Pelodiscus sinensis: one gene and its partners. The protein of the gene in region 1 purifies or fractionates together with the protein of each later gene. This does not show direct contact. Links are inferred from orthologs where the notes say so. Each region holds a gene or a part of one and is shown in the gene's direction. Other genes may lie near its edges.

Evidence for each region.
Region 2: the proteins of FBXL4 (region 1) and BNIP3 purify together in Homo sapiens (affinity purification with western blotting; 4 studies listed by BioGRID, with this or other methods). This does not show direct contact. The link is inferred for Pelodiscus sinensis from reciprocal best matches to the Homo sapiens genes FBXL4 and BNIP3.
Region 3: the proteins of FBXL4 (region 1) and BNIP3L purify together in Homo sapiens (affinity purification with western blotting; 4 studies listed by BioGRID, with this or other methods). This does not show direct contact. The link is inferred for Pelodiscus sinensis from reciprocal best matches to the Homo sapiens genes FBXL4 and BNIP3L.

What each region holds. Positions count from the first base shown.
Region 1 is NC_134713.1:70,077,746-70,088,215, reverse strand, and holds the start of FBXL4 (F-box/LRR-repeat protein 4), read left to right. Parts: upstream 1-6,310; 5' UTR 6,311-6,464; intron 6,465-10,470. UniProt on the Homo sapiens protein: Substrate-recognition component of the mitochondria-localized SCF-FBXL4 ubiquitin E3 ligase complex that plays a role in the restriction of mitophagy by controlling the degradation of BNIP3 and NIX mitophagy receptors.
Region 2 is NC_134718.1:47,394,762-47,404,682, forward strand, and holds the start of BNIP3 (BCL2/adenovirus E1B 19 kDa protein-interacting protein 3), read left to right. Parts: upstream 1-5,471; 5' UTR 5,472-5,788; coding exon 5,789-5,834; intron 5,835-9,921. UniProt on the Homo sapiens protein: Apoptosis-inducing protein that can overcome BCL2 suppression. May play a role in repartitioning calcium between the two major intracellular calcium stores in association with BCL2.
Region 3 is NC_134738.1:8,839,371-8,849,795, reverse strand, and holds the start of BNIP3L (BCL2/adenovirus E1B 19 kDa protein-interacting protein 3-like), read left to right. Parts: upstream 1-6,062; 5' UTR 6,063-6,180; coding exon 6,181-6,265; intron 6,266-10,425.

The sequences.
Region 1 (10,470 bases):
TCTAATAGTCCATATTTGTTAGCAAAAACTTAACCCTTTGAAGAGTGACAATTGACTTCTCACCATGCCCAAAACTGTAATCCAGATAAAAAGAACACAAGTAAAATTAAATAATTCTGCACCTAATGTGAAAGCAACTAAAAATACTCTGCAGCTGGTGACAGAAATGACTCAATGTTTTAATCATAACACATACACAGTACTGTAAAAAGTTGTTCTTAAGAGAGGCATCAAATAAACTGTTGACCTACTTTAGTAAGTATACTTCTGGTATTTTACCAAAAAAGCTAAATAGCATAGTGAAATGTAAAGCAGATGATCTTTTTCTCTAAAAAAAAATTATAGAAGCAGTATTTGTTCAATACAGTACATAGTTAGTTTTTACATCATCTATCTATAATTTACTTTCCTAACAAACAAATACTTTCAATAGTTAAATACAAAGGGGTCTAAAGTGTTCTATATAGACCCTATTCTGACCTCACACTGCATAAGAATCTCTACTAATATCATTGGGAATTGTATGCATTTATGCAATACCTTCATTAGATTTGGCCTCCCAAATGAAATTGATTCTGATCAGGGCCCCACTTCACCGGGGACCTTATGAAACAACTATTCTTTCCTTTGAACACAGAAGAACAATTTCACATAGCTGGACATCCCCAGGCCTCGGGGTTGAAAAATGAAACTGGGTCATCAAAAACATGTTGAAAAGGCAATTGATGTCCCTGGGGGAAAATTGGGATTCTAAGCTTCCCTTAATTTTGATAGTAGTTTGATGTCCAGTGGCTACTCATGAGGATAAACAAACAGTCCAAAACATGATGATGCTATCTTGTTCCAGTGGAATATCCCAGGTGAACCAGAATGGGATCTGGAAACTGACATGTATACACTGCTCAAGATGTCATGGATGTCCTAGTATGCCCAAATATAGGGAAGACTTTGATGGGATGCAGCTATCTGTAAGTGTTCAACAAAGGTATCTGTACTAATAACCATGCACCCAGGAGATAGGAAATATTTTCCTACAGGAAGATACTAGGGTCAGGTAGAGGGTGATGCGAATTGTCAGGAAATAATTACTTTGAAGAAGATTTCAATCTTGAGAAATAAGATTGCTAGATGTCACCAAGGCCATTATTTGGGATGGATTTAGAGGAGGGCTACCTATAGAGTTAAGAAAAATTATATAGGAACAAACTAATGACTTTGAAAAGGCTTATTTTAGTTGGAGGCAAATAGTCAACTTTACCTATTCAAGAGCCAACAAAACCATAGTCACTTATGTTCTAAATTCATGCTATCAAGGAGTATATTTATCCACTGATCCTCATAGGATAATATTTGGTCCTTATTAATGCCCATGGAAGCTAGCAAATAGGTACATATTACATGTTCCCAGTATCTCACAGTCAACATGCAAGCATATATAGAACAAAAGGGACTAGAACATACCCGTATACAACCAACCTCTGGGAGGAGCATCAAGTGCATCTTAATTCCCACGCAGGTAAATGTAATTTAACTGCTTCACCACTCTTCTCTAATAAGTAATTTTGTTCTAGTACAAATGGAAAAGTATTGTTTCTATGTTAAAAGCTGATGTCCTGTATTTTAGTTAACAGATTTTATACAATTGAACACAGTTGTGGTTATAATTTGTGTATGTGTAAAGTATTCTCAATACAAGGATGCAAAGTTAATATTGCCCTTACATGGTATGTCATCCACCACAAAAAACCAGAATATCTTTTGTATATATATATTTTGAACCAATACACATAGGAGGTGATTTGAAATCATTAAAGCAATTAATGCATCATGAAATATTAGCTCACTCTATCAAACAGTTAAGGGCAGATAGTCTCAAAACTATGCTAAGAGTTCATCATTATATGACTGCAATCCAAAGGGTTCTAAACAGGGTGGAGCAAGAAACTCATACAGCATATGATGTGAAAATATTTTCTACATAACTGGGAAAAATGCATATCTAGCATAGAAAATAATTCTGTATCCAGTTGTAATTTCAATAATCAATAATTTCTGAAGTAAATTTGAATACTCCCTTGTGTGCTCTGCATTGTTAATGCAGATTTCTGCCCCTGTAGGGTTGGAAAATAATCAACTTTGGCCCTATTCTAGTTGAATTTGCCATAGCTTTAAGTTAGCTTTGAATGATTTTACATTTGAAAAACAGGAAGTAAGAAACTGGTTAGGCCCTTGCAATTTGACATTGAGCTCTCACAAGTACAGGCAGTCCCCAACTTACGCAGATCCGACTTATGTCGGATCCGCACTTACGAACGGGGCTTTTCTCGCCCCGGAGCTCACGGGCGGCGGGTCGCCACCTGTGTCCTCCGGGGCGAGAAAAGCTTTTCCCGGTCTCCCTGGTCTGCTGGGGGGGGGGTCCAGCAAAGCCGCTGGACCCCCCAGCAGACCAAGGACACCAGAGCAAAGCCGCTGCCTGGGCGGCTTTGCTCGTTTGCCCGGAAGCAAAGCCGCCCAGGCGGCAGCTTTGCTCTGGTGTCCCTGGTCTGCTGGGGGGGTAGCTCCGGACCAACCCAGCAGCACCCCAGCTGCTCTGCCCCAGGCGTCCCCAAGTCAGCCGCTGCTGAAACTGACCAGCGGCTGACTACAGGAAGCCCGAGGCAGAGTTGCTCTGCCCCAGGCTTCCTGGAATCAGCCGCTGATCAGTTTCAGCAGCAGCTGACTTGGGGATGCCTGGGTTTCTTAAGTTGAATCTGTATGTAAGTCAGAACTGGCATCCAGATTCAGCCGCGGTTGAAACTGATCAGTTTCAGCAGCGGCTGACGCCAGTTCCGACTTACATACAGATTCAACTTAAGAACAAACCTACAGTCCCTATCTTGTTCGTAAACCGGGGACTGCCTGTACTAACACAACCATGAATGCCAGATCACATAGCCATTTGGCATCACACAACTCAGCCACAGGTTTTTCCCTTTGTCACCATGAAAAGTTTACTTCTTTCTTCAGTTTGTAAAACCACATCCGCATATTCCATTAGCTCAGCCATTGCACTTATACTTTATTATTGTTATCACCATAATCTGATTCAAGATTTTTCAATAGCTCTTTAAACTGGGGGCTGCTTAGTCCTTTACTTTTGATAAAGTTAATGCTTGATACTGCAATCGACATTACATTGTTTAGTTGCAAGGACTGAACAGATTCTCTTGATGAATGATGTAATGATACACAATCAACTTACTTGGATCATGTCTAAGATGATCTCTTTCTCTCTTGACTAAGGGAACTAATCCCTTCTGAGATCCAACCATAGCTGGAACCACTCAATTTTTCTAATAATGATTGAAACTTGTGTACTGCTGATGTAACCTTCTCAAAAATGTCTTCACCTTTGGTGGTGTTGTGCATTGATAATAAAGAAAGCAAATCCTCTTGAATCTCAAAACTTGGTGTGATTCCATGCAGAAAATAGCCAGCTGGACTGTACTTATGTCTGTTGTCTCATTAATAGCCAGAGAGAAAAACTCAAGATCAGCCACAGAATCTTTCAGAGACTTTTCAATATCCTGAGCCATATCATAAATTCAATCTGACACTGTCCTGTGAGATAAGCTCACATTCCCAAATAATTTAATTTTCTCTGGCGCCAATAAAGCTGCAATTGCACTGATAGTCTTTTACAAACTCTCCTTCTGAATGAGGCCAAAGGCAAAGGTTGGTTTGTTTGTTTGTTTGTTTTTGCTATAACTGACTTGCATAACATTGCCTGTTTCCTTTCTTGTTTTTGTGAAAATTGGTTGCTGAATATTCAAATTCTTTTAAGTGCTTTAATTTTGTCTGCATATAGCTTTCCTTAAAATTTCTTAATATTTGATATGCTTCATTCTGCAACTTCTTTCTATGTTTGATTTTTTTATAGGAAAAACTTTCTAATTATAAGAATAATCAAGTACCTAAGTAGATAATCTGGGAATTTCACAACCTTCCTATAATTAGAGATTTTTAATAACAGGTTTGATAAGCACCTATTAGGGGGTGTCTAGTATACTTACTTCTGCCTCAGCACAGTGGGATGGACTAGACTTCCAGAGGTGCCCATGAGCCCTTGAGTGTCTCTCATTTCTTCATCTTCTGTGAAAATTACACTAAAACAATACCAAATTCCAAGTCACTGACTTCTGCTCCCAACAGGACCTGTAAAGCCCAAAACTGTGCTGTTGCTCAGCAAAACATTACATTTTTAAATGAAATTCTATATTTTCAATAAGTTTTTAAAAATATAATCAACATAGTAAAGTGTTTTGATATAATGCTAATGCAGGATTGTGTGTGTTTTCAGCATTATTGACAGTGGTAGGAGTTTACAACCTCCTTCACAGCCACTTTTTTCTTCCCCACTGACAACTGAATAGAGGCTATTAACTCAGCCTCTTGTACAAACATGTCCAGGTGAAATTAGGCCTGATCCGTGAAATCAGCTTTATTTTTTGGAGCTTGAGAGATAATACACTAAATCAACTGAACTACTCATTGTGTGAAGTTAAGCATATATGTAAGTATTGTAAATGATCAAAGCCTAAAAAAAAAATCAGTGGTTTTCTATGACAATCTGCAGCCAGGGAAAAATAAGTTTTCATCTCCCTTCATCTCTTTCACCAGAGATGTATCTGGGTTTTCTTCATGCTATCCTTTTTGCATGGAGTTCTCTTGTTACTCTGATTGGTCAACTGCTACTCTCCTATGAAAACTCAAATATTTTATATTGCATTATCGGTAATATTCAGTATATTAACTTTAGTTTTGCATTTTTATTTTCAAAATAAAACCAGCAACATGGACACATGCCTAAACTAAGTGGTTGCATCTAGACTAGCATGATTTTCCGCAAAAGCAGCTACTTTTGCAGAAAAACATGCCAGCTGTCTACACTGGCCGCTTTGAATTTGCGCAAGAACACTGACGATCTAATGTAAGATTGTCAGTGTTCTTCCACAAATACAATGACTCTCCCGTTCGGGAAAAAGCCCTCTTTCGCAATTGCTTTTGCGCAAGAGGGCCAGTGTAGACAACTGAGAACTGTTTTGCACAAAAAAGCCCTGATGGTGAAAATGGAGATCAGGGCTTTCTTGCGCAAAACCGCATCTAGATTGGCATGGACGTTTTTCCGAAAAAAGTGCTTTTGCACAAAAGCATCCATGCCAATCTAGACGCTCTTTTCCACAAATGCTTTTAATGGAAAAACTTTTCTGTTAAAAGCATTTGCGGAAAATCATGCCAGTTTAGACGCAGCCAGTGCGTGTTGGATCACACTGCTGAATGCTAGTCCTTCCCATCACCACCTTCCTTCTTTTCTCCTTTACTTATTCTGTCACATAAAATTAACTTAGCTGAAATAAGGATGATGTCACTCTGTCATCCTGCAGGAAAATTCTGCATATATTTCATTACCCAGGCTGAATAAAAATGATCTTTCATTGGGTTTGCCAGTGGTTTTATAAGAATTGAACAGGAACAGGATTGAACTCTGCAAGTCAGATCAAGGTGTGCTGCAATGCACACTGTTACTGCAGGATTCATACTGCATCACCTCAGAAGGAAATATAATAAAATATTGTTAAATAAAGTAAATTAAATTAGTGCGGTCACTGATACTTTGTGTTAGTTCAATCTAATAATATAATTAGTATTTTTCTGCACTGATAATTCTCTATTTATCAGACGTGTGTGAAGCTGACCAAGTCATTACTCTCTGAAATATGCCAAATCCCCCCTTGAGGAGCAATTACCCCCAGGTTACGGCCCACTGGCTGATACCCGAACAGCGGGTGTTAGACTGTAAATGCCACCAGACTCCTGCTTGGTTTGGCTTTGAAACAGACTAACGGGCTCCCCCTGGACCGAACAGCCTGAGCGCCTTCACGTCATCACCCACGTAAGCGCGAGCAGCCAATCAGCGGGCTAGCCCTCTCTACGGCCCGCTGCCCCCGAGGCCGTGGGAGAACAAGGGGGCAAGGCTGCCTCTCTTCCGGCCTTCGTGACCGGGGAAAAGGGGCGGGGCTGTTTTCCTCGGCAGGCTTCTGTCCACCCTCAGCCCCACGCCCGTTTTCCAACCGCCGCAACGGCAGCAAGTCTTCCCCCTGAGCACACCCGAGCCCCACCCAATCCCGGGGACCGTTATTCTTCGCCCAACCTAAATAACAGTCCCACGGTGCTCCGCCCCCCCTCCTTGCCCGCCCCTTCCTACGTTCACAGAACGTACTGGTGTCATGTCATGGCCCCGCCCACCACGCTCTCCCCTCCCCACCCCGCTACGGCGCGTGATAGCTCCCGTCTTCCTGCTTGGGGCTCCGCCTTCTCTCGCCCTGGGGCTGCCTCGCCCGGCCCCGCCCCGAGTGGTGCCCCCGGCTGTCCGGCGGTGTGGCTGGTGTCAGCGCGCGGCGCGGGTCGCTCCGCCCTGCGGACGGGTACGGTGACTTCTCTTCTCGCGCAGGGCTCAGGCGCCGGTCCCGGCCGTCGGGGACCCCGCCCCTTCCCCCACCGACTGTGCCCGGGGCGGGGACCGGGCCCCTTGGTCAGTGCCGCGCGTGGGCTTTGGGAGCCCTCCCTTGCCTCGCTTTGCCGCCTGGGGCCGGCCGGCCCTGCCTGGAGCGCCCTTCGCCCCCGGCCACCAGGTCTCCGTCCTGAGGCTGCCTGCGCCTGGCCAGCCGTGAGTCCCCAGCCTGCAGCGCAGCTCTGCCCCCTGCGCCGCAACGGGCCCCGCTACGCCCACCTGCCCTAGGTCGTCAGTGACGAGTCCCTTCCCCCCGTCGCCCCTGCGCCTCGCAATGGCTGTCCTAGCTGCGAAACCCGCCTGTTCCCCCTGTGCTGACAGCCTCCCCCGCCGCCCTCCTCTTCATGCCAGTGCTGAACTGTTCCGCCTCCCCCCCCATCTTTCCAGCTGTAAGGTGCCAAACCCACTTCTCTCTTCCTTCCCTTCTTCCGGCTGCCAAACCCACCTATCTCCCTCCTCTCCTCAGCGCCTTCCAGCTGTCAAACCAGGGTTACCGATTTTGATTGGATGAATTATTGGGGATTTCATCATATTACAGTTTTTAAATAAAGATTAATCTTTGTTGAAGAGTCTCCAGGAATTAATCTTGGAGGATTGGCAACCCTAACATCTACCCTTCCTGGTTCCAAACCCCTGCCCTGACCCCAGGGTCCTTCCAGATGTCAAACTCACCTACACCCTTCCATTCTCTTTTCAGCTCCCAATCTCACCTGCACCTCCTAGTGCTGAAGTTCTCCCTTCCCAGTCCTTTCAGCCGCCAAACCTACCTATTTTCCTCACCTCCACTCCTTCAAGCTACCAAACTCACTTTCCCCTTCCAATGCCAATCTGTATCCACCTGCCATATTTATATTCACACACAGCAGTGACAAGTCACCCCATCTTTTCCTCAGGGAAAACTAATCCTTGCATACTGTACATAGTCAAACTTAATGTACTTTCTTCCCCTGATGTGATGTGTCACTTTATCAGACATATGTGCATTCCAGGCAGTTAACAAAATTAGATCACCTCTCCATAACAGACTCCATGGAGAACTAACATGACAAAATGCACATTGTGTTTCTAGTGTTCCAGTGCTAGAATTTCATAAATCTTCATACACAACAGCCATGGGCAGTAGTAAAATGGTTATCTTGATTGCTCAGACTTTGATTTTTTTAAAAAAAATATTACATTGATGCCCGGAGTAAGGATGTTAAAGACTAGTTGACCTCCCCCACTTGCTCCCTCTATCAGATGGAGGCAGCAAAGGGGGGCGCTGCACAGCTGAGCCTAACTCAGCTGTAAGGCTCTGCCGCTTTGAAATGCTGAGATGGTGTTCAAAGGGGCAGCACCTCACAGCTGATCCCCAGCTCAGTTGTGAGGCACTGCCCCTTTGAAACACCGGCTCAGCTGTGAAGTGTTGCCCTTTTGAAATGCTGAGACCCAACTAACCCTGGCTTCTGGGGAAATGCTGTGTGGAGACTGGGATCAACTGGGGAGTCCTAGCTGACCCCAGGCTCCGTGCGGCATTTCAAATTGGCAGTGCAACATGGAGCCTGAGGTCAGCATGGGACTCTTGAGTTCCCCACTGACCCCTAGCTCCATGAGTGCGCTTCCGCTTTGAAATGCACAAGAGCCCCCGCTGGGGACTTGTACGTTTCAAACCCTGCATGCAGCCCGGAGTCAGCAGGACTTCCCACTGGCTCTGGATTACATGTGGTGTTCCGCATTCCTTGCTGGGGCTCTCGTACATTTCAAAGGAGGAATGCAGAAGTACCTATCGATTAATGAAGTAGTCAATTGAAATTCCATCGACTACTTGACTGGTAAAATAACTGCAATTTAACATCTTTAACTCAGAGGTGCTATGTAGGCCCATGTTATTCAGGGTGACAAACAGCTAGTGAAGGACATGCTCTGCTTCAAAGAGCTTGTAAGCGAAGATGGGACAAGGGGCAGAACCTAAGAGAGAGAGGGGGGCTTAGGAGGAAGATGAATTTGACAGTAATAGGGATACAAGATAGTAGATAATAGCATTGTGTATAATTGGACAACTCACACCTTTTTAATTGCTGTAAAATTACTGTAGATCAATGGTCTCCAAACTTTTTCACATGTAATCTATTAGAGCCAGTGCTCAGGAACTGGGGCCACAGCTAGAAACTGGGTTGTGATTGAGTCCAGAGTTGTAACTGGGACTGCAGGCAGAGTCAGGGCTGGCAGTGGAGCTGTGTTGGGTGGCTCCCTTCCCATCACCCGTGGGGGCTGGTTTGGCACCTGCCATGCTTCTCCAAACTTTCTTCCACGTTCCCATAGTGAGCACACCTGACAGTTGTGGGACTACTGTTTTATATTTTAAACTATATGCTTTTTGCTAATATAATATTATAAAAACAGATTTATCCAGTGTAGGTAGTTAGATGAGAATTAGGGATGTAAAATCCCAGTTAATAAGTCAACCTGTTAAATAAACTTTAAAAAACTACAAATAGTCTGGTAGCACTTTAAAGACTAACAAAACATGTAGCTGGTATCATGAGCTTTCATGGGCATAGCCCACTTCTTCAGCTCTGACCCCCTCTTAGAGCCAACACCCTATACCCCATTTTGCATTCTGACATCCCCCCCATGCCAGCCTTGACTCCCCTTCCAAAGCCAACATTTCATACCCCCCTCCTGTCCTCCAAAACTGCGCCCCAGTCCGGAGTGCCCTTCTGCTCCGAAAGTCCCTCCCAATGCTTGCATCCATTACCCCCTGCTGAACCCCAACCTCCTGACCCAGCCTGTTGAAACTCAATGAGAGTAGGGAAAAATGGGGGTGAAGGAGGGAGTAGGGCAAAGTCTTGAGGACTTTGAAGGTTTTTTTGCCAAAGTGACACCCACTTCAAAAATAGTGATGAGCACTGGTGGTTGAGGTAAACATCAGGAGACAGGCTTGGGTTCACATTGGCTAGATAATATATTAACATTCAATTTGTTCTATCTATAGTTGAGTGTTAAAACTTATTTAATGCCAGCTGTCACCTTAATGGGACTATTGTAATGTCGCTGGAGTGGACATCTGTATGCAGCATACAGTACAGGTCCCTCCTTTCATCTTAATAGGAGGAGAGGGTCAATGAATTCAGATGTTTGAAAACAGGGATGTGGTGGAAGTTATATGCTCTGAACAATTTGACACTACAAATTAGTAACCCAAACACTTCTGAATAGTTTTTCCTGTGTTACCTTTAGGATTTTAAGTAGTTAAGATTATCATAATATTGACTGTTAAAATAGTTCTTAGAATGTGTGAAACAGCTGTCTTTTTATGACATATCACAGTATATGAAGTTACATAAATGTTTTCTGAGTTTGGTGTATTTAGCGAGAATCTGTTGTATACTGTTTTTAATATCCGTATGTTGTGTTTATGTCTCTCTGGAATCAGTATAACAGTAGGGAATGTTAGTCTTTGGAGGCTTACAAAACTGATCAAACCTTCAGATTGCTGTCCCTTCCTGCTTCTCCACGTGGGAATGAATGATACGGCCAAGAATGACCTTGATTGGGTTACTGTGGATTACGTAGAGTTGGGAAGAAGGATCAAAGAATTCAGAGTGCAAGTGGTGTTCTCATCCATCCTCCCTGTTGAAGGGAAAGGACTGGATAGGGATCGTTGAGGAAGTAAATGCATGGTTGCGCAGGTGGTGTCGCAGAGAGGGCTTTGGTTTCTTTGACCATGGGACTCTGTTCCAGGCATAAGGATTGTTAGGAAGAGATGGGATCCACCTAACAAAGAGAGGAAGGAGCATCTTGCGGGCAGGCTTCCAAACCTAGTGAGGAGGGCTTTAAACTAGGTTTGTTGGGAGACAGTGACCAAAACCCTGAGAGGAGGGGGAAGTCGGATACTGGGAGGTAATGCAAAGAGGAACGAGCAACAAAGGAGGACCCCT
Region 2 (9,921 bases), on another chromosome or scaffold:
AAAATCTACTCGCCACCGGCGAGTAGATTGCCCTAATTGTTGAGCCCTGGTTACATTGGTGCCTTCTTCAACCCCGTTAGAAAACAAGATGACTCTACCAGTCATCATGAATTTATATTAATCAGGTTGAAATTCCACTATTAAATGTGGAAATACATTATCTAAAACTGTTACTAAAACTCATCTGTTTCTGTTTTGGAAGCTCACACTCAATCTAGTCAAAGATGATTTCCACTGAAGGCACTATATATAGGTCACCAACTTCTCAGATTCAAAGACACTGAAGATGACTTCACTGAGACTGATTAATCTCTGTATTTTATCCTAAATATGGGTACTCTGTTCTTTTGGATAATGGTTTGAAAAAGATGCCGGTCAATAAAATGAATACTGTAGTGGATCTTGATTTGGCTTAAATATTACTGAGAACAGAGCTTTGTTCATGAAGTTTAGTGGTCTGCTTCTATCAAAACATTCCCTATACATCCCCTTGTATTTTAAAAAATGCAACCAAATGATCCAAGGGGGAGCAATGGGCAGTTTATTAGGACCCAGTGCTTTTTTCCAAAGCAAAGACATCAGTTAGATCACAGATTGTTTGACTTCCCTTTTCCCATTAGTGAGCCTATGTGAGGTATTAGGGCCTGATCCAAAGCCTAAAATCTATTAAAAGATTTCACGTGCCTGAGATCTATTAATTTAATGGAAGAGCAGTTTATGGTTATGAATAATTATTTATATTGCATGAATGATCACAGGTCCTAACCTAAATTTGGATTGGTGTCTCATTATACTAGGACATGCAGAAACACACGGAAGGATCTAATCCTTGCCTCAGAGCTGACAATCTAATGAGACTTGCTAAAATGAGTCACACTAATGGAAGCTTATTATTTATGATTCATATTAATTGGAAGCTTGCTTTGTCCCCATGTCTATTATCCCTTAGAAACAGAAGAGGTCTGATTTGGCTCTTAACATTTACAAAGTCAATCCAATTCTCTTGTCATGAAGATTGCTTTTTCAGTTTCCTAGGAATAACAGTGAAGCAGTTCAGCATCTGGCTCTCCTAAATTTGTCAAGGGTTTTTCTTTCCCCCTTCCCCTTTTTAATTGTTTGAGTAAGCAGTTAAAAAGCCTCTTACGAAAGCCTTCAAGGCTTCATCACACACCTTGAGTCACGTGTCCTGTGCAAATGGCTTCTTTGAAAACATAAATATGGGAGCTGATAGCCAGTAAACAGCTCTCCATAGGGGATAGTGGCATGCACTTTGGGAATATATGTAAACTGACTAACACCGCTATTGCTATCAGACAAGAGTCTGGGTTATTTTTCAGAGTCTGTTTTATGAAGTTTACTGTAGGGTATCTAACAGGCATGTCTAAATTGGGTGGAGGCTTATCCATGGTAGAGAAAACACAGTGTTTTAGATTAGGTGGTGCTCTCTGCACATCTACTAACTCTAATTCAGCTATAATAGATACAGATACGGTCTATTTTCATGGTCTATAGCATCCTGAGAATATTACCTTTTTTCCCACTTGAACATCATGACAGAAATTAAAGTCACCAAAGTAATCATTATAATACATTTGTGGCCTAGCTCTAAAAATGACTTTTTGAGCAATACATAATTTCAGAACCTAGCATTATCATTACAGTACACGTATTTGCTCTTTCATTCTTTCACCATCTTGCAACATTTTAAAATCACCATATCGTTATTATGAGGAAAAGGTTCAGAAAAGGGCAACAAAAATGATAAGGGGTTTGGAATGGGTCCCATATGAAGAGAGATTAAAAAGTCTGGGACTTGTCAGTTTAGAAAGGAGGAGACTAAGGGGGGATATGATAGAGGTTTATAAAATCATGACTGGCGTGGAAAAGGTGAATAAGGAAAAGTTATTTACTTATTCCTACAATAAAAGAACGAGGGGTCACCAAATGAAATTAATAGGCAGCAGGTTTAAAAAAAACAGAATGAAGAAAAACTTCCTTTAGCATACAGTCAACCTGTGGAACTTTAACAGACTTTAACAGACTTTAACAGGGTTAAAAAAAGAACTAGATAGATTCATGGAGGTTAGGTCCATCAATGGCTATTAGCCAGGATGAGTAGGAATGGTGTCCCTAGCCTCTGTTTGTCTCTAAATAGGTGACAGGAGAGGGATCATGTGAGGATTACCTCTGGGGCATCTGGTGTTGGCCACTGTTGGCAGACAGGATACTGGGCTAGATGGACCTGTGATCTGACCCAGTATGACTGTTCTTATGTTATGTTCTTAATCTTTTCCTCCAACATTTCCTATCTTTGGCTTCTGCTGATAATTTGTACTTTCTACGGGTGTCTTATAGGTGACAAGCAAAATATAGTAATTGACCCTCTTTTGTCTGAGGTAGGTCTTACCTTGAGCCCATGTAAGCAATCATGCACAGAGACTTGTTCCTTTTGATAGCCAGGGCAGCCACACTATAAATCCTGGAGGCAAGTGCAATAAATATTTCTAGTATCAATGCAATATAGAATCATAGAACTGAAAGCATCTTACCTCACAAGGTCATCAAGTCCAGACCCCTGCACTCATGGCAGGACCAAACACCATCTAAACTATCCCTGCCAGGTGTTTGTCTAATCTGCTACTGGTTTAGTCATCCTTGTGTATATTCCCCCAAGAATGACACATCAGGAGTCACATAAAAAGGAACTTTACTCCCAGTCTAGAAGAGATAAAAGATGTAAGAAAGGAGATAAAAGGCAGCGGTTAGTTAGCACATTGACTACTTCAGTTAAAGGGGTACACTAAACTGCATTAAGAAATATATGAAGAAATAATAATGTGGGTGTATAAATACAAATTAAGAATTCTAATATCTGATTGGTCAGAATTAATTCTTTCAGTCTACAAATCATCTAATTCTCATAGCCTACATGGTCTTGTAGGTCAGGGAAGTCAACAGCTTCTGCATGCCCCTGGGCAAGGTGTGGGGTGTGGGGAGGACTGGCTCTGTGTCCCCAGAAGGGGCAGGGCCTCAGGTGGAAGGGACAGGGCTGAGGGTAGCCTGCACAAAGCACCCCCTTTTTTCTCCACTCATCTGAGGAAGTGGGTTTTGCCCACGAAAGCTCATGATACTTTCTCTCTTTTTCTAAATTGCTAGTCTCTCATGGTATGGCTACACTGAATTCCTCTTTCAAGAGAATGCATGCATCTGAGTGAAATTGCAAATGAAGCATGGATTTGAATTTCCTGTGCTTCATTTGCATAATGGCTTCCAGGCACTTTTTCAAAATACCCTATTTTGAAAGAAAAAACGCAGTCTAGATGGAGTTATTTAGAGAAAAAAACCTTCTTTCAAAATAACTCTTACGCCTTAAAAAATGAGGTTTAAGGATTATTTCGAAAGAAGGATTTTTTTTAAATAGCCCCCGTCTAGACTGCGTTTTTTTTCTTTCGAAATACGGTATTTCAAAAAAGCGCCCGGAAGCAATTATGCAAATAAAGTGCAGGAAATTCAAATCCACACTTTATTTGCCATTTTGCTCGGATGTATTTGCATTCCTCTCTGAAAAGAGGAATGCAGTGAAGACATACCCTAAGGTGCTACAGGACTAGCACCAACTAGTTATCAACTAACATGGCTACCCTTCTGAAATTTATAAAGCCATTAGTTACTGTCATTTATTGAATAGCAAGGGATATAATCCCATGGTTTACTAATTAAAATGTTTCAAAAAATAGGTCACTGTTTTTTTAAAAAGTGAGCAAGTCAACAGCATGAATTGTTCCTTATGTCATTAAGAAATGCACGTAACCATTACATTTATATTGCATCAGCTCAAAAGGCCCTATATACAAGTGATAAAGTATAAGTTAAGACAGTTCTTATTTTTCCCATGAAAGATCATATGGAATTTAAGAGTAAATGATAATCTTTTTTAGGTTTCTGAACACCCTTGCTATAGAAGTTAATAAGATGGTAAAAAACCTACACCGTTGAGTCCTGACTGGTCCCATATCAAAGAATCTGCCAGACCAGGGGAAGTCAATGCTGACTCCTCTGCAGCTGCTAGCTGCAGGCCCTCAGCTGTCAGCAGCAGCAGAGCGGCCTGCACTGAGGGAGTGGGGACTTAGGGAGCCGGTGCTCAAGAGAAGAGGCAGGGCGCAGATGAAGAGTTTGAGTGTGAGGCCAGCTTTTCCTCATGAGTGCTCCAGCCTGGGAGCACCCACAGGGATGCTGGGCCACAGATGTTGTCGGCCTATAGACTATTGAGGTCCAACCTGTATTACACTTTATAGGATTTTGAAATAATGTGTATAGAACCCTATAGGTTTCATCTCTACTAAACTCAATAGAGCTTTTCCAAAATGTTATTGGGTTTTATAGTTAAATCTATTTTAAAATAGAAGAGCTTGTTAAAAGCAGTAGTTTTAAGTCAGACATTTAATTTTAAAATAATTTTTATTTTTAACTGGTCTTGGATTTTCTGAAAACAATTTCAGAGGATTGTACTAGGAAAATGAATGGAGCAGCCTTGAAGTGATGTACCTATGTTTCTAATTCTGCCATGCAACACAAGAGTGTTTTCATAGCTATGCAGTGGCAAAATTCTTATGACATTGAAATGTGTGCTTACAGAGTGTTGGATCTACTTATACGAACCCCTTTTACCACCAAGAAAATGTTGAAAGAGAAAGTTTAAAAATTATATGTAGAATAGTATTTAGCAAAGATGGCTCAAAAGCAATTTACCACAAACTGATATTTGACTGTGGCCCTCCTGGTCAGAAATGTCTGGTTGTAGCAAAGATAATTCTTGCAGCAACCAAGAGTCCTCCTCCCTCCCCACCCCAACCCCCATTGCTATAGTAAACCAACCTCCGTGAGAGGAAATAGCTGGACTGTCAAAATAATTTTTCTATTGACTAACATTGTATAAAACGTGGGTTAGGTTGGTATATTTTTCACAACCGAGGTAGCTAGACTGATCCACGTTTTGGATGTAATACAAGGCTTACAGACGGTGTCTAAAAGCCACTACAATTAGTAAACAGTAGGGAAACACTTCTAGCCACACCGGTCAGTAACAAGTTGCACAGCAAGTGAAGGAATGAATACGTGATCCTGACAGTGCTGGAAAATGATGTCATGAGCCTCGGCGTAGAAATCAATGCACATTAGTGAACGTGGGAACTGAACATTTTGTCCCTCATTTCCCACCCAATCTGAAATGAGGCCAACTTAGTGTCCAATGCAAACTAGCCATGGCTTGATATCTTTTTAGCCAATCAGGAGTGAGTTCTGACTTTGGCGCTTCCTGATCAGGGCCAGCTGGTGGGGGGCCGGGGAAGCGTTAAAAGCCAATGTGCAAAAGCCGGGTGCTCCGTAACAGCTTAGTAACAGCCTTGCCCCATGTTGCAATGAAAGAAGAGGCGCCACTAGGCCCCAGAGGGCAGTAGCCGCTCGGAGACATCCAGGCTTTGAGCTTGTTCCCAGCAGGTCGCGGGCAGCCCGTGCACCCGCAAGCGCTACAGGAGCAAAAGGGGAGGAATGTGATGACAGCCAATCAGGGTGGCCCGTTCCCTCGAGACGTCATACTCCCCAGCAAGCCCCAGAACCTGCAGTAGCAATAACAATAACAGAGCCTGTCAGCTGCTGGCCACTGATCCGCCCGCCCTGCGTACTTGGCCGCAGTCAGCAGCTGCAGCAGCAGCGGCCCCCGCCAGCCGCGTCGGGACGCGAGAAGCGCAGGCTGAAAATAGCAGCGCCTGCCCCGAAGAAGCCGGAGACAATGTCGCAGGGCGAGGGACTCAGCCAGCCGGAGGAGAATTTGCACGGTAAGAGCCCCCCTTACTAGCCAGGGTTAGGCCCCTAGTGCAGGCCCCCTAAGGGAAGCGCCCCACCCCCATTCCATCAGCCTGCGGGGACCTCACCACTGGCTGTCCGGAATGGGAGCTGTTTGGGACTCCGGTTCCCTTTGTTGATAGCCCGTGACGCCTTCGCAAGACAAGATCTGCTGTTAGGCGCAATAAATAACCCTGCAGTAAACACGACACTTGACAAGCAGGGGGTAGACTGCCCCTGCCAGCGCTGGTAAATGGATGGTGATCGGTCCTTCATGCGCCAGGACTGTCGTTGAATCCAAGTAGTGTGGGATTGCGTACGGGCTTTATTGTACCTTGTCTGGAGCTAGGGTTAATGTGAGCAATTTAGAAATCACAGTCAATGAGGTATCTCGTTACACGCGCCGCCTTTCCCCACCCCCATGCAGTGAGGTTGCCATTAGCAGCAATCCAGTTATCACAAACATGGCAGGTACACTTACGGTTTCATGGATGGCTAGCTGTGGGATTAAGAAAGAAAAGCACCTTCTTGCCAGCTCCCTGATATAATTGATGTTCCTTAGACCTGAAACTCCATGGGACAGATGTGATGGATTTGGGTCGTTTTGGAAGCACCCTATTTTTTGTTGTTGGAAATAAATAATAAACATCTTTTTATGTTCAGATTTACCTATTCTAGTTTGACATATCCCCCCAGCAAACCATAATCCTTTGGCTGAATATATTTTTCTTTCACAACAGAGGAATGGAAGAATGAGAGATAGGATTTTAATAAATAAGCGTGTTTTACCATGGGTGACAAAAAATGAAATCAGGGCTTATATTTGCCATACTTAAAAATATTGAAATCAGTTTGCAGAAGATATTTTATGAATTCTCCCTTATTCACCTCAAATTGGGGAATGCAGGTATTTCCTGCATACTTTGCAGATTTGAAAATAAAGATCAAAAAGTCTAGCTTACATTCCCAAATCTTCTCTATGATTTCACTGTGTGTCAATGTGAAAGACAGAGAGGTGTGGTTATTTAATTGCCTAAACTATATATAATGCCAGTTATTTTACCTTGTCATTTTAAGGGTTAGAAGTTTTGCACGTAGCAAAACCACAAGATGGTGTTTCATAACTCTCTCAGCCCTGGAAGATTTAAAAAAAAAAGATTCAGATGGTCTTATTTCTCTATCACTGATATGTACAGATAAGACACACATATCATAAAGGGACTTAGCCTGATATGTCTTTTCCTCACCTGGTGGTTGGAAAGGTAATAATGGTAAACATTATACATAAATATTTGTGTGCGCACCACATTTGGACTGGAACATTAAGACAAGTTTGCATGATAAGCTCATGATTACATTTGGGATATAAATATACAGTTTCCTTTGGAAGTAAGGTTCAATTTTATGTATTTTAATTTTATAGTATTTCTGGTAGGAGATTCTCAAGGCTCATGAAGAGAGACAGACAGCTGCTTCTCTATCAGGGAAGTCAAGGCTGGCTCAATGTCTTGGTGACCAAAAAGTGAACATAATTCTGAATAGGAATGGAACACATTTAAAAAAGCACTGAAATCTAAATCACACAGCCGCACACCAACAAGAGAGAGCTAGATTAGGATAGAGTTTCAAGAGACGTGCACTCTCGTAAAGAACAGAATGTGTTATTTGCGAGACAAAAAGTACTAAGTCAGAGGTAAGAGGTTATGCATTCAGATGTGATCTAGTGTAATTGCACATGCTCCTTGTATTTGGAATGTTGGAAGTGCAAAGGAGTTTGTTGAGGAGCTGAGGAATAAGACAACCGTCAAAGCATGTGAAGGACAGTTGTTTTAAATGGGGACTTCACTGATATTTGAGATAAGAGAGAGAGAGGGACTGGCATTCTGTGCACACTGAATTTTGTCTGCTCTCAGAGCAATTTGTCATTTCAGACATCAGAATTTTATGCAAATGTTCTGTGGCAGTGACTAACATTGGAAGTATTGCACTAAAGATATTCACAGATCCAATAATATCCCACTAATTATTCCATCTTTGGCTTGTCTCATGCTAGCCTTTATTTTTGTGTAATATTGCCTAGTCCAGTGCACCAGTCAGTCTTATTTTTTTTCCCTTCAAGTGCCTACCCATAACTCATTCCACTCAGGTTGCCTTCCAGCTCTCAACCTCTCCTACCTACATATCTGTTTATGTTCCTGTTTTTTTATTAAACATCAGCCTTCAGTATCTAATCACTATTGCAAGAGCTCACTTACAGTAATCTATCTATAACACCAATCACTAAAAGATCCAATATACAAAGTCATAATCAGGGACTGTGTTTAGTTGACATGTGAAGCAGTTTTGAATGGCTGTGGAATTGTATAAATAGGAAATCGATGAGAGCTGGAACTTTGATAATTTTAACACTTATCAGCACTGGCCATTATCCAAAGTTTTGCCTGTACAGCACATACAGATTAGGTCCAGATCTCTTGCATCATGAGAGAACAATGTTAGAACATGTAGTGTGATCTTGTTCAAAGAGTAAATGATGGAACTATGATCTAACTCAGTTGCAACAGAAGGCTCCTAACACTTGTATATGTAGTGTAGATGGGCCCTTAAAGGTGGCACTAATAAATCAACTCCTAGATGTTAGCACAACATGGCAGTAGAGCAAACAGTGAATTACTTGTGTTTTTTCACTTGTTTAAGATGGCTTAATGTAGCTGTCAGCGCTGTTCCTCATTCTGGCACTCCAAGTGCAGAAGGTGTCGGCCTGCAAGAGACATTAAATAACTTCCCTCTGTAGGCTCTGCTTACAAAAACTTCCCAGAGTCACAGATTTACTGATTTTGAGGGGTAGCTGCCACTACCAAGTAAAACAAATCCCTTTCTTCTTGATCCCAGGAAAAAAGCACTTGGACTTCCTTCCCGAGTACCCCATGCTTCTCTGCCACAAGAGAGCTTGAAAAAAAGAAACAAAAGAAAACCAACTGTGTCTTTGATAGCTGACCTCTCAAGATAGGCAGACACACACACAGACACCCTCTTTCTTTCCAGGACACAACAAATCGCCTTAAAAAAGGTGATTTTATTAACAAAACAAAAAGATATATTTAGTAAAGCATACTTGGTTACTAGGTGTTACAGAGCAATGAGTAAAACAAATTAAAACACAGAGAACACCTCTGATATGCTCTTAGTGAATGGGGGAGGGAAGGAATAGATTCTCACAGAGAAGTTTAACCAAAGAACCCAAGCAATAAAAATGTCCTAATTGTGACTAAATACACATTTTCCCTTTATTTACTCATGACCATTTTCTGGTTCAGTCCACTTACATGCCCTGAATTCCTTGTAGGCATGGCAATTCTGATTACTGCCTGTTAGATGTCTAGCCCTTAACTTAGAAGTCACACAAAGAAAGAGCAGACCAGGTATCTATATACAATTCAGATTTCAGCACTGTATCCCATTGGTTCTTCTGGCCCCCTATCAACACCTCATTGGTTCTTCTGGCCCCCTACCAGTGGCCTTCCTAGCTACTTGAGTTTAATCCCCTAGTCACTGAATGCTGGCCAGCAATCCTATCCATCACAATAGCCATTTACTTTCATCAGATACTGCTATGCATTCTAACTGCAGGACTACAGAAATGTTTCAAAGTCTAAAATCAGTCATGAGAGCAATTAATTATCACTGTTTATCTAGTCTTTAATTTGTATAAGTATTCTAACATTCTAGAACTCAGAGAATGAGTAGCCACTCGCAGTCAGAGAAGAATGTTGGGTAATTACTGTGATAAAAAAGTTTAGAATCTTTTCAGACACTAACCTAGCATTAAGATAACATATTTCAAGGTCAGAGCACTGTAAACATTATTTAAATAAATAACTCTATAAATAGATGTGTCCAGGTCCCAATAATAAGGCATGATAAATCATTGCAGTACAACCCTGACAGCATGTAAGGTAACAGTTGGTACACTGCATGCTGGTACACTGCAAAAGCTAACTATATTTCTGGTGTGGTTTGGACAATAGTTTTTGTATTTATACTTCTCTGGTATGCTAGCTCAAATCAAAGATTTGGCTT
Region 3 (10,425 bases), on another chromosome or scaffold:
ATCCACAGTCTGCTCTCCCACTTGAGTTTGAAAAGTCCTTCATGCTTTCAAAAACAATTCACGGCTCCTTTAAAATGGGGAGGAAAGTGCTTGCAGAGAATTTTTCTGATGCAATGCTTGCTTGTTTTATTTGGTATCCTCTGCCAGGAGGCTAATTAATGTTTCCTAGGAGCGAGAGCAAGCAAGAGTGCAGAGGGATTCAATAATTAGGTTTCCCATCCTAGTGGATCGGTACTTCGCAACAGAGCCCTGCAACTGAACTCAGGACCCATTGCTGTTATAGCAGGAGCAGGTAAAAGTTTTTGTGGGCAGGATTGGGTGGGCCAATCAACAGACAGACAATTGGCTGGAAAAGGCTAAATCCCATCAGTTTGCCATAAACAGCATTTCAGCAATGTAAAGCAAGATTTTCTTTTTTTTAAAATAAAGGTTTTAATACTTACATCTTTATCAAGAAATAGATTTGATTCTTAAGAACGTAATGGCCATCCTTGGTCAGACAAAAGGTCCATTCTGCCCTGTATCCTGTCTGCTGACAGTGGCCAATAGCAGATGCCCCCGAGGGAGGGAACACAACAGGTAATCCTCATGTGATCCCACCCCTGTCATCCACCTCCAGAGAAACAGAGGCTAGGGACACCATTCCTACCCATCCTAGCTAATAGCCATTGGTGGACCTAACCTCCATAAATCTAGCTCTTTTTTTGAACCCTGTTCAAGTTCTAGCCTTCACTGCATTCTCTGGCAAGAAGTTCCACAGGTTGACTATGTGCTAAGTGAAGAAAAACTTCCTTTTATTTGTTTTAAACCTGCTGCCTATTAATTTCATTGGGTGACCCCCCCTCCCCAGTTCTTATATTGTGGGAAGAAGTAAATAACTTTTCATTATTCACTTTTTCCACACCAGTCATGATTGTATAGACCTCTATCATATCCCCCCTTGTGTCTTACAGTGAGTTAAAATATTTTACAGGATTTAAGTATGATTTGTTTCAGTGGTAAAAACTTAAGTTCTGTTTACCCATTTACATAAACTACACACACATGGGCACATAGGTGCGTACACATACATTCACTGGCTTTTTTAGTGGCATGGACGAATCTCTCTTGTTGGAGCTATGGCTTTTTGCAGCTGGGAGTGAAATAAAAGGAAATGCAAGAACCAATCATGGGAGTGGGAAGAGCAGGATTTAAAAAATAGCCCTGCACAGAGGTCTAGTTTGCAAGCTCAACAGAGGCTGTGGAATTTTAGTGCGCTGCACCCCTGGCTGCTTTAGGGTGACCAGGACTGGGATAGCGGGTAGTAGGCAGCTATATAAGAAACCCCCCTGAAAGTCAGGACAGTTGATAGAAAATCAAGACATCTGGTCCCCTAAGCTGCTTTTTTTAGCTGTCGGCTGCCCATTGTCATTAAAATCCATTTGACCTGTTACATCGAACTGCATGCAAATTTCAAGGAATATCTTCAGTATATTTTAGCACTACCTGACCCACAAGGGAAAGTGAGACCAACCACTGTGGGGGAGAAACCATCTCTTTGTTATGCGTTTAGAATAATGGTAGGTAGCCAGTGTGCCCTGGACAGGTCCCTCTTTGCCAATTACAAATACTACAAAGAGGGAGCCATTTCCTGTAGCCCTACAGTTTGTTACAAGCCCGTTAGTGGAAAAGAGGGGAAGGCAAGTCATTAGATCTGGCATGCTCACATCATGATGGCAACAGGAACTCTGGCTGAATTCCTTATACCAAGTTTGGCCTCCCACGTGCCTATTGGGGCAGCTCGCCAGACTGCAAGCAATGCACCCTGCTGGTGAATCCTTCAGTGTGTTTTAAGGGTCTGAATGGGATACAGGCACTTCCTCAGTCATAGGTTCTCTATGCTCGCTGAAAGTGCAGCCCCTTCCTAAGAGCTTAAACCACAGAGTCAGTGCCCACATTCTGGAATCTGTGCTGACTTGGGGAGCTCCCTCAATGTCTAAAACACACCCATCCCACTAACAGCATGAGACTTCTTGCTCACTTCTTTGAGGGGTCATATGATAGGTGTAGCATATAACACAGGCTACTAACAGACTACTGCTTTTCAGTAGCTGGAAAAATACAAAGAGCTATAACAATAAACTACATGGAAATGTGCTGGTCTTTTCCCATAACAAAATTCTGGCCCAAACTGGAAAGAATATGCTTGTAATAAAATGGAATAGTCCAGCATTGACTTGCATGAAAGAATGGACGAGGAAAGGCTGGACATTGGTGACATGCGTATCTCTGCCTCCGTTTCCTTACTACTGCAGAGTATATTTTGAGTGTGGTCAGGGTCACCTAGGTTCATCTAGTATTTGTAAGTTACATGCCATCTGTGTTAAAACACAAAGCTTTTGTCTCTGGCCATTCCATTCCCTTTTACTTTCCTGCCCATCATCTTGGGTGTCTGGTCTCAGAGTCCTCCTGCCTCTGTGTTTGGGAATTTTGCATTATCACAATATCTGCCCCCTGTAGAGAGCTAGTAGAGGGAACTGGTTTCTCTAGGAAATGGTTATGCTTTGGTTTTCTTCTGATAAGAGCTACTCAAGTGTTTCAGGATTGGCTATTGTCTCTGATAATACAGAGGTGCACTTTCAATTTACAAACCATGGTGATTACACAGACTAGGGGCATTGCATGATCTTAGGTGTGGAAAAAGTGAATAAAGAAGAGTTATGTACGTCTTCCCATTACACAAGAATTAGAGGTCATCAAATGAAATTAATAGATAGCAAATTTAAAACAAAAGGAAGTACTACACACAGCCCACAGTTGACCTAGGGCACTCAACAGAGGATGTTGTGAAGGCCAAGACTAGCAGGGTTAAAAAAAGAACTACAGTAAACTTCCGATAATCTATGGGACCTAGGTGGTGCCGGATTATCAGATATGCCAGACTATCAGGAGGTACTATAAGATGGTTTTTTATATATATATATATATATATATATACACACACACACACACACACACACACACACACACACTGTATACATTATATACTGTAAATAGTGTTCTTAACCCTTTTTATTGTACATGCAGTATACTGTAACGTTTTAGTTTTTTAAGCCTTTTTTACCCTTTTTGCTCAATTCAGCTGCTGCCGCTGTTACCTTGTGACTCATTTTTTGCCGAAGCTCACTCACTAGGCTCTTGCCATTTTGATGCCGGACTATCAGGAGTGCCGGACTATTGGAATTTTACTGTAGATAAATTGATGGAGGATAGGTTCATCTATGGCTGTTAACCAGGATGGGCAGGGATGATGGGGACCTTCATTGGCTACTGTTGGAAGACAGGATACTGGGCTCTATGGACTTTTGGTCTGACCCAGTATGGCCGTTCTTATGATCTGATTCATGATTTTTGAGCATTTGGGGTTGGCAATACTGTCTCCAACTGCTTAAGATTCCTTGGTAGCACGTATTCATAATTGGGTCAACTCAGCTCTTTTGGGGGTAAACCAAGTGAGTGCCAAGCCTCCAGTCTGCATTAGTCCTTCCTGTAAGGACTTAAAGTAACTAGGATTGGGGCAAATGGAAGACCATCAACTTTGTAAATGACATCAAGAAATCAATTTAAAATACGCTATTGGCGCAGAAGCTACTCGGAAGATAAAAGATCCCTCTGCTGTCTGCCAAAGGTGTATGCCATAGCATTGTGATTTCCCAGGTAGGAATCACAACATGTTTGGCGTTTTATCCCCTCTGATCATTTAGCATTACTGTCTATTTTTAACACAATGAAAGGTTCCTGTGGAACATTAGAATTATTGTCTCTCTTTTAATTTCAGTTAAGTCTGTGGCAAAGGCTGGAAGGAGAATTTCCCTGGTTCTATTTGCTCTTTTAAGTCCTGGTTAATAAAGGGTTTGAGTGTGTTTACGGAGACACAAAGGCAGAGTGGATTATGGTGATATGCGCCTGTTTTGTTATCACTTTTACTTTCCATTTCTCATGACGTTCATGTTCGTTTTATGTCTGTGTGTTTTGAATCATCTAAACAGTCCTTTTAAAAGCATCAGAGGGGTAGGCGTGTTAAAAAACCAACGGTTACAGACTAAGTCCTTTTAAAAGTAGCAGTCCTTTAAACCCTGATTTCCAATAAACATGCTCAACAACTGGGCCTAAACTGTTCTATGCTCGTAAGGGCAGCAGGTTACTCATGGGAAGGGAAAGTGAGCATCCCTGGAGAGCTGCACCATGACAGATTATGCAGGTCTGCTTTAACCCTTTGCACTTGGATTAAGGAACTGTTGCAGCCCTAGTTCTGAAAGTGGCTGGAGTTAGATCTGAGGCAGTGTGCCCTCTAATCTGTGCATGTCCTTCCACTCAGGAGAAATGTAATGCTACCCAGCTCATTAGCAGAGTAGCCAGACCTTTTTGAACAGCTCTGAAAGCTTTTCATTAACTTGCTATTTGTATTATTTTCTCTAGAGTCTGGGCACTGAACATAAGAACGGCCAGACTCGGTCAGACGCAAGGTCCATCTAGCCCAGTACAGTAAAACTCCAATTGTCCAACATCTGGCGGTCCAGCGCTTCTGATAGTCTGGCACTAACTGGAACCCGGAAGTGCTCCGCCAGCCGTACAATTGGAGCTGCTCTGCCCCTGGCTTCCCCAAATCAGCCACTGGTCAGTTTCAGCAGCGGCTAACTTGGGGAAGCTAGGGGCAGAGCAGCTGGGGTGCTGCTGGGTTGGTCCCATAGCGCTGCCCTCTCCTATGCCTCGCAGTTCCCCGTTGACCCCATCCCTCATAGCCCCCCTGTTGGTACTCTAGCATATTTGATAATCCAGCACCCCCTGGGTCCTAAAGGTGCTGGATTATCGGAAGTTTACTGTATTCTGTCTGCCAAAGTGGCCAATACAAGATGCCCCAGAGGGAGGGATCACAACAGGTAATCCTCACGTGGTCCCTCCTCTGTCACTTCCAGAAAAACAGAGCCTAGGGGTACCATCCTACCGATCCTGGTTGATAGCCATTGATGGACCTAACCTCCATTAACCTATCTAGTTCTTTTTTGAACCCTATTATAATCCTAGCCTTCACTGCATCCTTTGGCAAGAGCGGTGAGGAGTCCTGGGGCACCTTATAGACTAACTGAAGTGTTGGAGTATAAATTTACCCTTACTCATCAGATGTACATATACCTGACGAAGTGGGTCTTTGCCCACGAAAACTTATACTCCAACACTTCAGTTAGTCTATAAAGTGCCCCAGGGCTCCTCACCGCTTTTGCAGATTCAGACGAACAGGGCTATCCCTCTGCTACCTTTGGCAAGGAGTCCTAGAGGTTGCCTGCGTGCAGAAAAATGTCCTTTTGTTGATTTTAAACCTGCTGCTTATTATTTTCATTTAGTGACCACCCACCCCCCCAGTTCTTATATTGTGGGAATAAGTAAATAACTTTTCCCACGCCAGTCATGATTGTATAGACCTCTATCAACTCCCCCCTTAGTCTCCTCTTTTCTAAACTGAAAAATCCCTCTTTCATTTCTCTTCATGGGGGACCCGTTCCAACCCCCTCATCATTTTTGTTGCCCTTTTCTGAACCCCGTATCTTGGGAAATTGGGATGGGGACAAAAAAATTACAGACCAGCCCAGAGCAGGGGGTCTGTTCAGAGCCCGGGAGGAGGGCTAGTGTGGTGGCTACAGGCAGGAGAGACTTGGAGGCAGGGGGCCCCTGGGCTGTGTGGTTGGGGGGGGGAAGGGGATGAGGTTCCCTCCCAGCTCTATGGGAATCTTGACTCCATCTGGGCTGCTACAAGCCAACCTAGCGCATGCGCACGAGCGTCAACAGCGGGTCCCCAGAAGGCGCATGCGTATTGAGAAATGAGCGGGGCGGGGAAAATGTTGACAGTGGGACATGCGTAAGAAAGAGGCCGTTGGCGGGGGGCGCATGCGCAGCGATGGCCAAGCGGCGCTGCGAGGAAGGGCATGCGCACTTACTGCAGATGGCGTGCTGCCGGCGGGGCGGCGTCTGCGCAGTCCGGCGACGCGAGCCGCCGCCCGCCTCTGAAGTCGGAGGGGGGCGGTGCCTCCGGGCTGCGCGTGCGCAGCCGGCGGGAGGCGGGGGGGGGGAGGAGGAGGTGGGCTCCGGCTGGTTGTTGTCGTCCCAGCCCCGCAGGTTCCTCAGTTGCCACCGCGTCGCGCCGCCATGTCCTGCCCCCCGGAGCCGCCGCAGCACCACAACAACAACAACCCCCCGGCCGACGGGGCGCCCGCCGAGCCGGGCCTCAACAGTGAGTGCGCGCCTATTAGCATAGGCAAATGGCATGGAAATGAGGAGGGCCCCCGGGCCGCGCGACCCCCCCCGCCCCTCTTCGCGGCTGGGATTGGCGGAGAGCGGCGTCGCGCGAGCGCCTCCGGGCCAGTGGGGTTGCTGGGGAGAGTTGGTTCGGCTGCGTCCGGATGGGGGGGGGGAGCTCTGTGGGGTTGGGGTTCCTATGGCTACGCTGGCAGCCTGAGGGGCAATGGGGTGTGGGGGGTATTGGGGTGCGGAGGAGGAACAGGAGGGAGGCTCGAGGGTGGGGTACACTGGGGTGAGGAGGAGATTCAGGGTATCTGGGGGGCTCGAAGGTGCGGGGTACACTGGGGTGAGGAGGAGATTCAGGGTATCTGGGGGCTCGAAGGTGCGGGGTACACTGGGGTGAGGAGGAGATTCAGGGTATCTGGGGGCTCGAAGGTGCGGGGTACACTGGGGTGAGGAGGAGATTCAGGGTATCTGGGGGTTTGAAGGTGCGGGGTACACTGGGGTGAGGAGGAGATTCAGGGTATCTGGGGGCTCGAAGGTGTGGGGTACACTGGGGTGTGGAGGAGATTCAGGGTATCTGGGGGCTCGAAGGTGTGGGGTACACTGGGGTGTGGAGGAGATTCAGGGTATCTGGGGGCTCGAAGGTGCGGGGTACACTGGGGTGAGGAGGAGATTCAGGGTATCTGGGGGGCTCGAAGGTGCGGGGTACACTGGGGTGTGGAGGAGATTCAGGGTATCTGGGGGGCTCGAAGGTGCGGGGTACACTGGGGTGTGGAGGAGATTCAGGGTATCTGGGGGTTCGAAGGTGCGGGGTACACTGGGGTGAGGAGGAGATTCAGGGTATCTGGGGGTTCGAAGGTGCGGGGTACACTGGGGTGTGGAGGAGATTCAGGGTATCTGGGGGTTCGAAGGTGCGGGGTACACTGGGGTGTGGAGGAGATTCAGGGTATCTGGGGGGCTCGAAGGTGCGGGGTACACTGGGGTGAGGAGGAGATTCAGGGTATCTGGGGGGCTCGAAGGTGCGGGGTACACTGGGGTGAGGAGGAGATTCAGGGTATCTGGGGGGCTCGAAGGTGCGGGGTACACTGGGGTGAGGAGGAGATTCAGGGTATCTGGGGGGCTCGAAGGTGCGGGGTACACTGGGGTGAGGAGGAGATTCAGGGTATCTGGGGGGCTCGAAGGTGCGGGGTACACTGGGGTGAGGAGGAGATTCAGGGTATCTGGGGGGCTCGAAGGTGCGGGGTACACTGGGGTGTGGAGGAGATTCAGGGTATCTGGGGGGCTCGAAGGTGCGGGGGACACTGGGGTGAGGAGGAGATTCAGGGTATCTGGGGGGCTCGAAGGTGCGGGGTACACTGGGGTGAGGAGGAGATTCAGGGTATCTGGGGGGCTCGAAGGTGCGGGGTACACTGGGGTGTGGAGGAGATTCAGGGTATCTGGGGGGGCTCTAGGCTGTGGGGGAAGAACACCTGGGTGTGAAGGATGAATGTGGAGGGTCTCTGTGGGGGTGTGTGCTGGGGTGTGGAGGAGGGATAGTGTCTATGGGGTGGTCTAGAGTTGGGTGTACATTAGGGTGTGGAGGAGTAATAGAAAATATGTAAGGGCTCAGGGGTTGGAGGGTACACTGGACTGTGGAGGAGGAATAAGGTGTGAAGGGTGGAAAGGTCTTATGGTGTTGGGGGATCTTTGAATGCTGTGTGTGTGTGTCTGGGTTTTCATATTGGACAGAGGAGGGGAAGTGTATTGTGTACTCTGGGGTGAAGATAAGGACTGGGGGTCTTCGGGAAGATGACTGAAGGAGAGAGTGTTCAGGAGTTAAAGGGAGATGGAATTGGCTGCAGTCATAATGGGAGGCAGCTAAAGGGACCATAGGCAGGAGTGATAGAAATGTAGCCGTGTTAGTCTGGTGTAGCTCAGGAGGTTATCTTGTTTTGAGGCTAGGCTAATTGCATGGCTGAGTTGAGGTGATATCTGGGAAATCACATTTAACTCAGTATGTTGTTGTGGGTAGGATGCAAGTATAGTGGGTGAGTCAAATGCAGGAGAGGCATTGGAATTTTAGTATCAGGGTTAATAACAACTATGAGATGAGGAGGTGTGGGGAAAGGTGGATGTAGGAGGTGGTAAAGGAATCTCTGATCTTAGTGAGTTTATTCAGTGATTTGGTATGTAATGGGGAGATACAGCAGGTTTGTTTTGTAATGGGAATGAATTTATTTAGTGGCTGGTTCTAAGAGCAAGGAAGTGGGGAGGAGCTTTACTGTGGGAATGATTTTATTCCATCCATATCACTGACGTGAGCTATTTTCTTCTGTATACCACATGTATGTCAGCTGCTTTGCGGCATCCTTTTGTTCCTAGGATAATACTTATGTGGAAGATTCGTGGTTTTATCTAGGATCTCATATTGGTTTAATTGTGTTCTGCATCTCAAAGGCACAGCCATTTAATGTATATTTTGGTTTGCTTTTAAATGTCAAGGATGCTATGGTAAAACAAAATGTTTTAATTAACCATTCTCTCCGTGTTAGTTTGTTAAATTATCCATAAAATATATCAATAGGATCAGCTAATTGATCTGTGGTAACTCAGTGGGAAATGTATTAGATCAGGGTAGATTATGCTGTATAATGACATTGCCATTGCATTTTGTGTCTGGTGACATTGAATCTCATGTTAATTACAGCAGTATGTTTCTCTGACTTGTTGGCCTTGAATTACTGTTCACAAAAATAAATAAAGCAAAGACATTGGCCAGATTTTAGTGCAGTCAACATGTCACAATATAGAAATGTATATTGATGGAATTTCATTTCACTTTTTTGAAAACTTCATCTTAAATTTAGCATGTACAAGTAAATCTAATGTCTATTTCTCCAACTTCAAACTAGTTAATCTGTGACTTGCAAATATTTTTCCATACTTTATTTTTTCCTTTTTCTGATTGGTGGTAAGACAGTGTGGGAGATTTCAGTCTCTAAGATAGGAGCAACAAGAGAGGGTTCAATGTAAAACATCTAGGTCCTAATTTCCAAGTAAACTGCACAGGGGTACATTCCCATTGAAGATGGTGAGGCATCATGCAGGGTTCCTGCAAGAGCAGCCCGCGGAGTTCTCACTCTATGTATTAATTGCTTGACTAAGTTACTATTTTTAAAGGTGCATGACATTGCTTTTTGAAATAAAAGTGCTGAAGTTTCTTTGAGAGAAATGTCAAATACACAATTTTTAACAAAATGCATACTTTTTGGTCATTGGTTAAAATTTCAGGAGAAATAAAGTACCCATCCTTGGTGTGGTGCTTCAAGCTACAAATGTGACTAAATGAAATATTCTCCCATGGGGGAGTAATATTACCATATGGGGAGGTTAGTTTGGGGCTGAGAAGCAAAATTTTGATTTGGTTAATCTAGTATCAAATTTTTTCTAATATAATGTTGCTGCTGGTGCTCCTAGGTCCAGTAGAACAGCCAGCCAGCGTATTTGGATCTTTAAGCAGAGGAAAAGGGAGTAGTCCTGATTTCCAGCAATTACTTTTGTCCATCACTTTGAAGTTGTATTAATGGATTTCAGAAGATTCTGTATCCAGCCCATGTGAGCCAGAGGAAGAGTTTATAACACAGGGTCTTTGAGAGGATCGTGAGGCACCTTTTCAAACAGCAATTTGTGGCTATTCGTGAGTCTTGTATGGGAAGTGTGTGTGAGACAACATTTAAGCTTAATATCACAATTCCTTGACACTCATTAAACATGTCTTGACTCATCAGAGATGAGTGGTCAGATGGAGAATTAGCAACGTGCAACTTGTCATGTAAACTCTCTCTTAGACCTTTCTTTTGATGGGAGGAGTATTTAATCATGTTTTATCTTGTTTGTTCTAATATGCCTTTAACACAACTTTAATCTAAAATACCAAATTCCTCAATTTAGTACAGACTGTCTCCGACTTACGAACCGGTTACAGACCAAGCAATTGGTGGTAACTCGGTTTGTTCGTAAGTCGGACCCCATTGAGTTACACGTGACCGCACTGTTCGGAAGCACGGATCACGTTCGTAATTCGGGGTCCGCCATTTACGATATTTTTGGTCGTAACTGTGAACAGTCGTAAGTCGACCGTTCGCAACTCGGGGACTGCCTGTATAAGTT